2 linked regions of the Tamandua tetradactyla genome follow. The protein of the gene in region 1 purifies or fractionates together with the protein of each later gene. This does not show direct contact. Links are inferred from orthologs where the notes say so. Each region holds a gene or a part of one and is shown on either strand. Other genes may lie near its edges.

Region 1 (7,221 bases):
CTGAATTGCTTGTTTTTAGATTTTTGCTCTCATGTTACAATCTTATAAACTAGAGAGCTCAATTCACCCACAAATGGATAACAGAATCTCTAAATTCCACTATCAAAAAGCATGCCCGCATTAATAAAAAGAAATCAAAAGTTACAGCTAAATGTATAAACACTAGCTTCAATGGTAAAATAAAAAAAAATTCCATATTTTAAACTCTACTAAAAGTTAAGAATGCCAATCATTTTAATACAAAATGCTCTTAGCAAAGATACCAACACCTAATTTGGCCAATAGAAATAAACAAATAGTACAGAAAAATTAGGTCAAATTTCCCTTGCTACTTGGTCAGCCAGGAAGACAAGATATTAAAATGATCTTAAAAGCTTTCAACTCTTCAAACATTTGCAGCCAGTGTATTTTATCAGAAAGGGAAGGCAGTTTGTACAGAACTGATAAATACTAAAGATTCCTTCTCTTATTGTTTCTCTAAACAAATAATCTGACATAATCCTGTATACGTCTTTCTCTTGATATTGTGGAAAGGAATTAATTTGGACCAACAAGTAATACAAGAAGTACAGTGGAGATCCAAGCATCTATGTTTTAGCAACTGTATTTTTGGAAACTGATATCTAGTCATATTTAGGCTTATTTATGTAATTAAATACAAATTAGCTATTATGTAGAATTTTTTAAAAATCAAGGTATTCTATAAGAAACTATACTTTGGTGTAAAACTGCTATTTAATCTTTTTTCCTAAAGGGTCCATTTTAAAAATATAATACATAGAAATATATGATTGAACACATCACAGTCATATTCTTAAGCTGACTGCTGTATTTTAATAGAGCACTTAGGAGGGTAAGCTTATCTACATCATCATTAAATCAAGCATTAGGGTATAAGAGTCTTTTCTCCTTTCTAAAACTAGATTAATTATTAGAAGGCTAGACTTCAACCCTAAGCAAATCTTGTAAGAACTCTTGTAAGAAACTGGAATAAAACCAGAGAACTTAAATACATCACTTGCCGAAGCTTACACTTTTAGGCCTCAAAAAGAATTGTAAAAGTAGACAAGAAGTATGGGAGCCAAAAGAGAGCTCATTTATGAAAATTGTACCCAAAGAAACCTTTTCCCTTTACCGCTCCCCTCACCGACACCCAAAGAAAAGACTACCAAAAAAAAGTTATCAAGCACTGCCCTTTAAAATTTAACTTAGCCACAGTGTGAAAACAACTCCTGCCAAACACACACACAACAGTCAACAGGAATGTTCCTTTTGAAAACAGTCCTAAACTTTATAGTGTAAGTTTCAGATTCAGAACACTTGGAAACAAGCCTAATAAAATGGTGAGCATATGTAACAAGTTAGCTATCCTAGAAAGTTTACAGGACATTCAAAACTGTAGCATCTGGAATCTGTCAGATAATCACTCCGAGCCCCCAAGAGAATAGAAGTGACACTTCAAACACCCACCAATATAAATACAACAACAAACGGTTGGATACAAGACAATGAGAAAATAACACTAACAAAAGAATCTGAAATAGAATCAAAGCCACAAAATTCTGGTAATATCCCTGTTTGTTATAGCCAAAAACAGTTATAATGGAATAGGCATTTTTCCTTTCTCTAGCTCTTTCAGACTAATAAATTTTAAATGGGTTTAAATGTAAATATAAAAAAATCAATGAATTTTAAAAGTTCATCACAGAAAATGTGCTTAATAAAGTACATAGTTTTTTAAACTGGGAACTAACTGTAGGGTTAGACAGCTGAGTTACTTAATTCTTCCAAAACGTACTTTTTTCCCTTTGCTATACAATACTAAATGATACATAAGTCTATTATCATGAATGCATGTTTTCAACTCACATTGTTTCTCCAGTCTTGGCTACATGACAAAGAAACTGATCCAGGACAGGACAGACTTCCTTTTTCCCCCTCTTCTCAAAATCTAGAAAAGAAAACAAAAATAGTCATTATTTCTCAAAGCCTATCAACCATTCTCTCTAAAACAAACTTTCCTCCCAGATCTTGCCTGTCCTGGGTAATAAAAAAAAATCAGCGTCTCAACCAAATATTGACCTCCACCCTTGAAGTTTCACTTCAGTATGTCACTCTTCACTGGTAACAATGATCTCCTAAAGGGGGCACTCGACCTCTCCACAAACAGCCGCCTTACTGCAGTGTTTCTCAAAGTGTGGTCCAGCGGAACGCCAGAATCTGATTCACCTGGGAATCTGGATAGAATAGTAATTTCCAGACCCAGAACCCCACAAACTGTTTATGGAGGTGAGGTCCATAAACCTGGGTTTTTGCAAGCACCAGCCAACCCACGTTAACTCCCCCAAATAGTTCTGAATGTCAAAGCATAATTCTCAAAACGTTTAAATCACAATAGCCTAAGTTTGAGAACCTACTGTTCTCAAGCCTGTTGCTTGGAAGGCGACCCCCTTAGAACAAGGGCGCGTGGAAGGATGACTTCAGAAGCCCAGAAAGGCTTCCTAAGACAACTTAAAAGTTGCTCTGCCACCATCACCACCCCTAACCTTTTACTTTTTCTCTCACCCCCAACGCCTGGTGTGTGGGGATCTGACGGAATACGGAGCCTGTCTGGGAAGGGGCTGCCGGCCCACAGCCTGCCCCCGGGTAAGTGGGTACAGGGGCTAGGGCCCCTCCAAGGGCCTCCCCTGATCCCCTCCCCCAGCCCAGACGCCGACGGTCGACACAAAGCCAGAGTAGGGCGGGAGGGAGCTGCCCACAGGGCTCCCCGCCCCTGGGGAGGTGGAAGGGGGATGGGAACTGGGAAGCGCCCCCTCCCCCCAGCCCCGGTCCTCACAACAACCCTCTCTGGAGAGAGAAGAGAGGAACGCGAAAGGTGAGCAGGATGGGAGAGGGGCAGCTACCCCCACCTTTCAGCGCCTCCTGCAGCCTCTCGACGTCCATGGCTTCCCGGAGTCCCTCGCAGCCTCCGCCTCCTCCGCGGGTCTCACGGGGACCGGAATGCCTCCCCCCACCCCCCCGACGCCCTCCCCCTCCCTCGCACACACTCCGGCACGCAGGCGACCGGGGGGGGGCACCGAAGGGAGCCGGGGGAAGCGAGCTAGAGAGCGAGACCGAGAGAGCGAGCACCTCCCCGAGCCGCTACCACCAGCCCTCCAACATGGCGCCGGGCACGTCACCGCGCGCACGCTCCCTGCCGCCGTCCTCGCGCCCGCTGCGCGCCGCGGCCCAAGAGCCCAAGAGCGCGTGCGCGGCGGGGGCGTGCCGCCAGGGCCGACCCGGCGACCAGGACTGACGGCGGCTGTCCCAGCCTTAGGTCACGTAGTATTTCCCCGACGTGCCTATGCAGTGCTGGAGACCCGAAGGGTTAAGGGAGGGTTTGGAGGCAGTTTCCCTGGTTTTGAATCCGTGCCATTTGCTCGCTATATGACCTTGAGCAATTTACTTTGTCTCTCTGAGCCTCACTGATTTCCCCATCGGTACAATGAGGGCACTACCAAGCGAACTAGTAGAGAATTAGGCGTGGAGTTCAGAGTACACATAAAAACATTCAGTATTACTAAATACTGAACCCACCGTTCACCACTGACCCACCCATGAAGAGAAGCAATTCATATAGCAAGATGATTAAGAGCTCAAGGGTTGGAATCAGCTGGAATCAAATCCCAACTTCACTCACGACTACCTGTGTGACCCAGGAGTAGCTACTCAAACTCACGGAATCTCAGTTTCCTCATCTATAAAATGGGATTGAATAAAATGGTGAATCTGAAGCATTTAGCACAGTGTCTGGCACTTGGTAAGCGCTTGGTTAAGGTGGCTGCTGGTTTTACTATCATTACAATTATGATCACATTACAAAAGGCCCCCGGAAGTTAAAAAGGGAGGGGACCTCAAAAGTCTTCTCTAGCACTAACATTTTACAAATAAGAAAGAGCAAGTCCAGCAAGACAGCAGCCGACAACATCTGGCTCCCAGCCAGTGTGTGGATATTTTTATATTCTTCTCTTGTTTCTGAGCTTTTAAAGGAGAAGGTACTGAACTGCTCCACCTTCACTTCTTAAAGCCTATCAAACTGACATGAAAGGAAGGAAGGAGAAGGGTGGAGGGAGGTTGGAGAAAACTTGCTTCTTGACTTGTGTTAGAAGACAGATTTGGATGCAGCCATTACAACTATTGACCCTCTTAAAAACTAGGGCTCTGACCCTAATTCTAGGTGGCAGATGTAGGTAAAATCCCCCAAAATACCTCTCTCAAAACTTGCAATCAGAAGATCAGATCCCTGTGTCTTTATACCTTTTTATATTGGAAAGTATTCAGCTCAATTACAAATAATCTTGCAGGGAGAGGTAATAGAATATCATCATCAAATATTTGGCAAGCATTTACCATGGTTTAGCATGGCTTATCATGGTACCTTCTATTCTCAAGGGGCCCATTCTCCCTACTTGGCAAAGTTTAGCCTCCACTTGTCTCTGACACTCTGTCCTCTGTTTAGACAGGTGTCTTTCTGTAAGAGCCATATTGTACAATACAAATTTCCACTAGTCTCATGTTGGTATTTAAATATGATTAAAGTTAAATACAATTAAAAATTCAGTTCCTCCGTCGCACTAAGCCATATTTCAAGAGCTCAGTAACCACATGTGGCTTCAGGATACAGAAAATTCCCTTATCATTCTTTTGGAGAGCACTGTGTAAGAGGACCACACCATGCTAATTTCTTCTTCCTTGTTTCGTCCCTTTTCCTCAGCTGTTCCCATCACTTGGGGATACCGCTGTCTTCCAAACACTGGATACCGGCTGTGATAGGAGACACCTCACAGTGACAACCTAAGGGAAACTGGGAAAGTTTCCCAGAGGAAGTCATATTTAAGCTAAGACCTGAATTAGTGAGAGGAAGGTCACCAAGTGAAGTGGAAAGAAGGAACTTTCAAACAGAAAAACTGCAGGTATGAAGCCCTTGAAATGGAAGAAAAGAGTTAGGTAGGTTCTAAAGAGCCATAAGAAATTGAATCTGACTTAAGCTGAAAGTGGAAAGGGAGAAGAGGCAAGAGATGAAGAGTTATTTCCTTTATTCATTTCTTCCTTCTTCCTTGGAATTCCTCCCTAGCCAGCAAGTATCCCACAATCGATAATTGCTAACCCTGCTTGCACTAATTCTCTTGGAGGAAAACTGAATATGAATGTGGCACAGACCCCAATGATCCTCACCTCTGAGCTTCATGCCCTTTTGTAGCTCCTTCGACACTGAAACAGAGCTAGTCTGGGTGACCAAAGAGCACGGTGGAGGTAACGGGGTGTAACTTCTGAGGTTGGGTCATAAAGGGCACTGTGGCTTTTCTGCCTTGGTTCTTGGATAAATCGCTCTGGGAGAGCCTTGTCATGAGAACATTAGAGCAGCCCCATGCAAAGGCCCACATGATGAAGAGCTGAAGTCTGGGAATTGGATCCTTCAGTCCCAGGAAAACCTTTGGAAGACTGCGGGTCTCAGCTCACACCTTAACTACAGCCTCACAAAAGACTGCAAGTCAGAATTACCCATCTAAGCCCATCCTCAATTCCTCATCCTCACAAAATATGAAAGATAAAAAATGCTTATTGTTGTTTTAAGCCAATAAATTCCAGAATAATTTTTACCCAGCAATAGATAACTAATAACATAATAAAAATTTGGATAGTAATGGCTAATATTTATTAAAAGTGCTTCTCATGTGCCTGGCACTCCTCTAAGCACTTTACAAAAATATCTAATTTAATCTTCACAACAGTCTATGAGGTAGATGATATTAATATCCCCACTGAACAGAAGAGAAAAATGAGGTATAGAGAGAGGTGAAATGACTTTTCCCAAGTCACACGAGTTTGCTGGCAAGTGACCAAGTAAGGATTCAAATCTATACTGACTCCATTGTCCTCAAGATATTTGCAAAATATCAGGAGAGATAAGACTTAACCACAGACCCTGGTGCAAGGTAGAAGACGAGTATGCAAATCAGGTATTCACAGTCCTGTGAAATCTCTTCCAGGCAGGAATGAAAGTTGCTTTAAGATGGGCCTTGTCTAAAGATTGGAAAATATTTGCACCTATAGAGAAGGACCTTCCAGGTAGAGAGAATGGCATTAACAAGGCAAACAGTCCACGAGGACCTCCCAGGTGCTGGGGAGAAGAGAGTGTGTAGTCTTTCTTTCCTCTACAGAGCTCATACTCTAACAGAGGAGAGGACCTTAAACACACATGAACATGTAGGAAGAGTGCTGGCAAGGCAAAGGCCCATTGCTCTAGGTGTGTACAAGAGGGAAAAGGCCTGAACTTGGAGAATATACAGAGTACGAGATAGGCGATTGAGACAGAAAGAGAAGCGGGACAGTGAAAACATTAAAATATTTATATGAGAGGATCTTCTTATAACCCTGGAGCGAATCACTGGAGTTTGGCTGTCCCTTTGAGATGGGTCTGTGGAAAGAGACAAGAGCTGGAAATTGAGTAAACACCAACATCCAGTCTATATAAGCTGGAGAAAAGAGAACAGGGCTGGGCTAAAATATCACTATATAAAGCTTTGGAGCTTCTTTCATTCTCAGGGCCTTTTATTCATGCCTTTGAGTCATTAGTTGCATATTAGAATGTGTACTTGGTGTGATTGCTGCTGGTCATCTTGTTGGGTTTAAGAGCAGTGTCAAAGGAGGAGACTGGTAAAGAGTGGTGCTGCCTAGGTGGAATGTGTTAAGTTTGATTACAATGATAGAAGTTGCTTCATGTTGCATGAGAGAAATGGGATTTTATTAGAAGAGTAGAGTTTTCCATAGGATCTCAGCAAATCAAAGAGCCATTCTCTTCTTCAGTTCTATACATCTCTCTCACTCTCTCATCCTCTCCCTCTGTCTTTCTCTCTCTCACTCTTTCATTCAGTGTTCACTGCTGATGTATAGAAGTCCTCATATGAAATGACTTCTTAAGACAACTGTCCACCATCTTGCAATCACAATCAGAATATCTGATTGGCCTAGCTTGGGCCAGGTGTCCATTCAAACATGGCTGGGCCCCAGGATCTCCCAGCGTAAACCATGCTGCTGTGCTCATGGATGTGGAGGCAGTGAGGCCAGGCAGCGGAGATTTCCCAAAGCAGAGTGGGGAGGGAGGACCAGAGCCCCCCAAACTAACCAGACTCGCAGAGGAGGCAATATAGTGCCATGTGGAGCCCAAGCAAATGAGCAGTC
Region 2 (7,508 bases), on another chromosome or scaffold:
GAAAGCTGTGAATGCAGACAGAGATGTAGGTTACAATATGTGAGATAGCTAATGTTTCTTCTTTGAAGCTTTTTACTAGAATAGGAAGTTTTATTTGAAAAAAATTCCTGGAAAGAGTCTAGTCCTTTTGGGATACACACTGTGCTACACTAGACAGAGTGTAGCCTTACATTCAGAGTCTGAATAACTGCTGACAAGGTTATGAGAGGGCTCTGGGTAAAACTATATGAATATATCTCCTCCTTCCATTTATTTATTTTCCCATTTCTGACTGTTTTTATAAAAATAATCCGTATTCACTTGAAAAAAATCAAAACAACTCAGAAATATGTACAACAGATACTAAAGTCTCCAAAATCTCTTTCCTTCTAATCCCCTCAGAAATGATAATTATAATAATAGCAAATATTTACATGGCACAACTTTGGGTTCACTGTTCTAAGTACTTTACATTTGTTAATTCATTTAATCCTTACAGCATTCCTATGAGATATGCACTATTATACTCCCCATTTTGTAGACGAGGACAGTAAAGCACAAGAGGTAAACACCTCCCCCAAGGTCACACAGTCAGGATGCAGTAGGCCTGGGATTTGAACTCAGGCACCCTGTGTTCAGAGTCTGTGTCCCTGACTTGTATGCTATTCCCTCTTCCTCTCAGTTGGTCTCTGTTGTTACCAGGTTAACATATCATATGCTTATTTTTAATCAAAGTAATGAGGATTTTAATATTCAGGCCACATTGTTGATGAGAGCAACAGAAATGGTGGGAAGAAGTCTTAGTCCAGGATGAAGGCTCTCTCTATGATAAATGGTGACAAGAATAAACCTAATGTGTCCCATACTCTCCCTCCCTACTCATCAGAGCACGAGCCTGTGTCATGAAATCAGAGATCTTCACCAGGCACATACTGGAGGCAGCACACTACAAAAACTTATCTGCAGCCAGAGAAAACTAAGTTCAAATCCCAGCTCTGCACTTTAGTGGTTTGTGCCTGTGGGAAGCTACTTGACCTGCCTGGTGGTAGTTTCTTCCATGCAGAAAATTGGGCTAAAATAACTCCATTGTTGTGAGACTGAATAAGATAATGTTCATAGATGCTTGATAATAGTGTTTTCTGTTCTTCCACTGCCTGGCCAGTAAAACCAAACTTTGACAGCAGCTGATGGCAAAGGACAGCCAGGACAGATTCAGCACGATCACAGATTTGGGGGTTCACCTCAGTTCAGGGTCAAGCCCATGGTCAACTCTTTGTGAAAGTGTGCTAGTGAATGAACAGTCATAGCCCTGGGCCCTGCCTGCTCCATTCATGCACTTTGTAGATGCTGAAGTGAGAATGCATGGATTTTTAATTAAAACCATTTATTTAAAAAATTTACTTACAATATCGTCTAGTTGCAGGCAGACAGGATCCTCATCTCTCCCAAACCTGAGAACCAATACCTTCTCTGCAGTACTTTTTATTGCCTGGTCTACTTCTTTTTTGCTAGTCAGCTTGGGCAATAAGAAGCTCATCTTGAAATAATCCAAATACAAATCTTCACTGTTAATTCTGAAATTAAATCACAGTGTTTAAAGACAGTTTAGATTAAGTACATGAAACTAAAATTAGTTTAGTTTTTTTGGTAGGTAATATATTCACATAGTTTAAAATGAAACAATATAGAAAGGTCTCCTGTGCCTAGTTCCATTGAACTGTTTCTTCCCCTCACACCACGTAACTACTCGCATTAGTTTCTCATGTATCCTCCAGAGTTTTGTTATACATTCGTAAGAAAATAAAAATATGTATTCCTATTTTTCTCCCTTTTTTTACCCCAAAGTTAGCCTATTTGTTAGAGTCAGTGTTCCAGAAGAAAACAGATGGCTTCTACCTCCAAATTTGATCATCTGAAGAGAGTTTAAGTAAACAACAAGATACAGTGCAGTACTCTGGGGCTAGTAATAGCAGGGCACTCTCCCTACTCCTAGGCCTGCAGAGGCCATGGGAGGGATAATTACCAATACCAGGTAGTGAAGAGAACTGAATGGAGAGGGCCACTGTATAGGATGTCAGCTTGCATTAAGGAGATGTAGTCACTCTCTTCCCTCTGTACAGTGTCCTGCTAGGGCTCCCATTGGCTGACTCCAACTGGAACTAGAGGGCAGGAGAGTTGGGGAGGCATGCCAGCCTCCCAGATCACAGAGAAGTCTAGAGAAGGAGGACTGGATATAGAGGGACAAATGGAGGATGGCTAGTGCACACACTACTCATTATGCAAGTCAGAGTTCTCTAACGAAACAGAACTGACAGGAGCTATCTGTAAATATTATGAAATTCTTATAAAACTTGTTCAATTGACCATGGAAATGCATAAGCCCAAATTCCATAGAATAGGCTGTAAGCTAGGAATTTCAACAAATGTGTTTGATGAATTCCCCAGAAGAAGGAGACTCTGATGAATTATCCTGGAGAAGCTGGCTGGCTGAAGGAAAGATGTAAATTCTCTAACTACTGAAATCATTATTTCTTTTAAAGGCTTCAATTGATTGGATGAGATATCTCACTTTGTTGAAGTCAGTCTCCTCAGTTGATTGTAGATATAATCAGCCATAAATGCAATCAACTTAGTAATGAATTAAGTCCACGAAATGTCCTCACATTAATCAGGCCAGTGCCTGCTTAACCCAACAGCCCCACACTATCATCTTGCCAAGTTGACATGTAAACCTAACCTTCACACCCACTCTTAGGCTCTTTGCATTTTTTACCTTACCTATAAAAACCTTCCCCTATCTCTACATAGAAAACTCCCTCATTCTTTGTCACAACCACATACTATTTAATGTATGTACCAAAATTTTCAATTCAGTCCTTGATTAATGGACATTTGTATTATCATTATTCCTGGTTTAAAGATTCTTGGTGAATACCTTACCACCCAAATGGGTGAAGACACCCCTCCACCTATTCCATCTTAACAACCACTCTTGATTAAATCACATCAAGATCACATCAAGATGTGACTCCCTAAGTCATATCTCCAGGGAGATGTTCTAATTACAGTTTCAAACATACAATACTGAATAGGGATTAGAAGAAATGGCTGCTTTTACAAAATGGGATTGGGATTAAAACATGGCTTTTCTAGGGTACATAAATCATTTCAAACCAGCACATAGGTGCACATAGAAACTGGCAAACAATCAAGAGCGTATGTGAAAACCACCATTAAATAAACAAAATACTGAGGTGAAAGGACGTAATCTATCCCTCTCAATTTTCAGACTAGTTTGCTTATAGTTACATGTTTAGCTACTAGAATAAAGACTAGATCCAGGCCACTAAATTTCTATGCAGTTCTCCTACTTTTACTCTTGGAAAAAAATTCATTTTTGAGAAACATTTTGTGGGTGCAGGGACAGGCATTTATAATCCCTGCTGGAATGTAGAAAGGCAAAACCTTTCTGAAATGAAAGCTGAAGTACTTTTTTCCATTTCCTAAGAAATTAATTAATTCTTAGGAAATAACCAGACATAAAGATTTATGTACAAAGGATATTCATTGCATTTATAAGGTGAACACCTGGAAATGGCCATCAATTGGGGATTGGTAGGATAAATGATAATACAGTCCTGCAATGTGCTATCACAAAGCCGCTAAATATAGTTAAAGATGAACATTTAGAAACTGAAAAATTCTCTATATTGCCAAAGAAAAAAGTTAGAAAACAGTTTATAAAGCGTGATCCCAATTTTATATAAAACCTAACTATAATGTAGTTAAGTTATATATGTATATAACTACATGTATATAGTATGTGTATACAGTATATAACTACTATATATAACGTAGACTATTACATTATATACATGGAAAAACAACTGGAAATAAATACCTCTATACATCATCAGTGGTGATCTCTGCGTGTGGACAGATGGGTGACTTTCATGTACTTCGGGGGGTGCCTCTGTATTTTCCAAATATTCCACAATAAACATGTATCAGGAGAAAAAGATCCAAAACACTATTTTTTAAACGTCTATGGTTGAGCTACTCCTGATAGGAGAAGACACCTGCCAGGGACGACCATGGCCATACCTACTTTGCCTGTACAAGTCACCTTCCTCTCTTCCACTTCAGGGTTGTCACAAACGCCACCCTTTCTAGAAAGAGCCGAGATGCGGGTGGCGTCCCTTTTTTCGGCCCCAAGCCGGGCAGCGACTCAAATACAAGAAAACCCTCAGGGACTGATGCCTACCAATACTGGGGACCACCCTGGCGGGGAGGAAGCGTAAAAAGAAAACCCACGGGTACTGCAGACGAACCCGCGGCAGCTGGTCCGGAAGGCCCAAAACGCAGGAGAGGTTATTCTAGTCACTGCCCAGAGTGACCGGAAACCTAGAGCCACTTCCGCCCTTACTAAATGTGACTTTCCCTCTCCACCCCCGCCCCAACACCCTCAGCCTAGAGGCGGGGTCTCGCCTCTTAGGCTAAGCGTGATTGGCTCGCGAGGTGGGCCCGGAAGTGCTTTTATTAGCGCTCTAGGAGAGGTCACTTTAGCCTTGAGACCCTGGACGTGTTCGGTTCCTGTCTTGGATCCAGGAACCGGCGTTTTCCGGCCTGCTCTCTATGGTATCTTCGGGCACCTAGAGGGTCCACGCTAGGTATCATGGGACAAGGATGGCCGCGTTCAAGGTGCGGATTTTGGCTCTCTGAGGTCGCCTGAGGAAGGGTGGCGTTGCCAGCGCCCCAGAATCTGCGACAGAAGGGCCCTGAGAGTTGTGCTCGTGCGGTGAGTGTCCCTTCTTCCTTTCTGACCTGTCCTTGCCAGTTACCGGCGGCTCCAGGTGGCGAATATCGGTCCTTTGCCTAGGTCCGGGCTCTAGCTTAGAAAGTTTCTCTTTCCGCCACTGTCACCCAACTTGCTTTACTCACCTCAGCGATGTTGCACTCTCACCGAAGTCCTGGGATGCTGCCCGTCGTTGCCCTGCACCCTTCCTTAGGCTTTCGCATAGCCTACTCCCAGAGTACCAGGCCGAGTAGGGTTCCTTGTGTTCCCTCTTCTCCCAAAGAGTGGTCTCTTACCCAGGCGATCTGGTGGGTGATCTCTGCTAAAATGTCAGCTCCAAGAAGGAGGGGATTTTTTGCCTGTTTTGTTCTGTTCTATCCCTATTGACTAGAACAGTGATTGACTCAAATAATCACTAGCTCAGTGATATTCATCGGCGCAATGAATAAACGTTGAATTAGTAAATCCAGTTTCGTCACTGTTTTTCTTGTACCTTTTGTGGCTTCTTTGCCGTCGGTGCTCCAAAATCTAGGTCCTTGATTATTTGTTCTCAGCAGCTAGTTAATTCCTCGCTGTCAGACACTTTGTCTTTGCTGCTGGTAACCTTGCTTGCTGTCTCTAGAAATATATGGCTTTCTGTTCTCCTGTGATACGTTTAAATTCATTCATTCATGAATGAATGAGCATTTATTTTGCTTGGCACTGGCAAAATGCTAGTCTCTCATTTGCAGACTAACATTCTATGGTTATGTTTCCTAGTTCAGACTGTGGCTGAGTTGAGCCTGTATTGCTCTACTTTCCTGTTTGGATCTCCTCACATGTGTACAGATATGTAGATCCCCTTTCTGTTCTGATGGCATTTTTCACAATGCAGCTCTTGTGTCTGACTCCATATCATGTGCCCAGTGTGTTGGCAGTGTTGTGTTATAGGGCTGTTCTTGTTTGTTAGAGCTTGGCAAAAATTTTGGGTTCTGGTAGCACCCTGTGCCTCCACAGTTCCAGTGTTTTACTGACTTGTTGGAATGACAGGCTTGTTCAAGCAGTCATAACAGGTGTACATTTACAAGTGGGTCTGTGTAGTGAGAGGTAAAGAGAAATTTGTTATTATTGAGGGACAGAAAGTCTCACAATCACTTAAAGAAAATACTTTTCAGAAACCCATTTCCTAACTTAGTGTTTCTTATCAATGTTTTTGGTGAACATGTATTGTTATTGTACAGGTTTTGACTGTTAGGTGGTAATCTGTTTCTCTAAAATACAGCTGGTCCAAAAAATGTCCTAGAACGTTGATGAAATGGTTGATAGCCTCATACCCCAATATCTGTACTCTGTTTTATCTGCAGTTTAAAGGGAAGGAGGGTTAGAAGAACACAGAAGACACGTGTAAAAAATTTGTGAGGGAACCAATTAATATCTAGGAGTATGGTAAATAAAATAATGTAACAACTACATTCATGTAACTCTTTATGATTATGGAGATCTCTTACATATACTTTCTTGTTTGATCTTCACAATAATTCCACGCATTAGATAAAGCAAAAATTATTTCTGTTTTACAGATATAGAAACTATGGATAATCAAAGATTAAGTTATTTATTTGCTTACAGTCATGCAGGTAGAAAGGGTCAAGGGCATGGACTCTTCTAATTTAGGTTTTCTGATTTCAAATCTGGCGGTATTTCTCCTTCACTGCCTTTAAAGATACCGTTATGCTCTAGTAAGAGTCTCTTTATGAAGTTTGTTCTTGCCTGTCTGATACTCTCTTGGATCTTGGTTTATCGTTGGGGTATCTATTTTTGGTGTGTGTTGGGGTGGGACTAAGTGACTAAATCTTGGCAAGAGGTAGCTAAAGAAATCTTGGTCTGGGAGTGGGGTGTGGTCATTGTTAACTCCCTAAATAACCTATATTACCTATAGTTATTCTGCAATATGGAAGAACCAAGCCTTTTCCCCTTTTATTTCTCAGAACAAATAATATGTCTTCCTTGCAGACAACCCCCAGAGTCTGTAATGGAGGATACCAGTGAGGATCCCACGATCCATCGACTGGAAGGGACTGATCTGGACTCTCAGGTTGGAGGTCTTATCTGCAAGACTAAAAGTGCGGCTAGTGAACAGCATGTCTTCAAGGCCCCAGCTCCCCGCCCTTCATTGCTGGGACTAGACTTGTTGGCCTCCCTGAAACGGAGAGAGCGAGAGGAGAAGGATGATGGGGAGGACAAGAAGAAGTCTAGAATTTCTTCCTACAAGGACTGGGAAGAGAGCAAGGATGAACAGAGGGATGCTGAGGAGGAGGGCAGTGACCAGGCTGGCCGAAGTAGCCGAAAAGACAGGTAAAGGCTTTATGATGGGTTAACCTAGAGGGAATGAAAATGGAGACTGGAAAATAACAATCAGTATGTATCTCTGTTTTCTTGTTGGACATTTAAACTTTCAGATTTTATTATGATTTTGTAATGTGAGATTAGGTAGGAACTGGTATTTTCTTCATATTTCTGGGGACCTTTCAAAGGTGACTAAAGAGTAGAGGATGGAGGTTAGAAATATTTTGAGTTGCTGCTGTATATAAGCCTGTTGTACCAGGAAGATGAAGTGAAATAGGACAGGTCACTTGTTTGGCATAGCCAAGAATTTCTTTTGGGGCAAAATTTCTCTCCTGTAGAATGTCCCTTTACCAGTTACCCTCCCTGTTTCAGGCATTATCGTTCTGCCCGAGTGGAGACGCCATCCCAT

Evidence for each region. Proteins that work in one complex are often made in the same cells at the same time.
Region 2: the proteins of PPP4R2 (region 1) and DHX38 purify together in Homo sapiens (affinity purification with mass spectrometry; 3 studies listed by BioGRID and IntAct, counting the BioPlex papers as one, with this or other methods). This does not show direct contact. The link is inferred for Tamandua tetradactyla from reciprocal best matches to the Homo sapiens genes PPP4R2 and DHX38.

Annotation. Positions count from the first base shown.
Region 1 is NC_135341.1:10,712,108-10,719,328, forward strand, and holds the start of PPP4R2 (serine/threonine-protein phosphatase 4 regulatory subunit 2), read right to left. Parts: upstream 3,066-7,221; 5' UTR 2,944-3,065; coding exon 2,910-2,943; intron 2,899-2,909; exon of another isoform or gene 2,566-2,898; intron 1,952-2,565; coding exon 1,870-1,951; intron 1-1,869. UniProt on the Homo sapiens protein: Regulatory subunit of serine/threonine-protein phosphatase 4 (PP4). May regulate the activity of PPP4C at centrosomal microtubule organizing centers.
Region 2 is NC_135342.1:66,664,307-66,671,814, reverse strand, and holds the start of DHX38 (pre-mRNA-splicing factor ATP-dependent RNA helicase PRP16), read left to right. Parts: upstream 1-4,462; 5' UTR 4,463-4,777; intron 4,778-6,766; 5' UTR 6,767-6,785; coding exon 6,786-7,108; intron 7,109-7,471; coding exon 7,472-7,508. Other genes in the region: TXNL4B (thioredoxin-like protein 4B), read right to left, coding at 1-5, 1,385-1,516. UniProt on the Homo sapiens protein: Probable ATP-binding RNA helicase. Involved in pre-mRNA splicing as component of the spliceosome.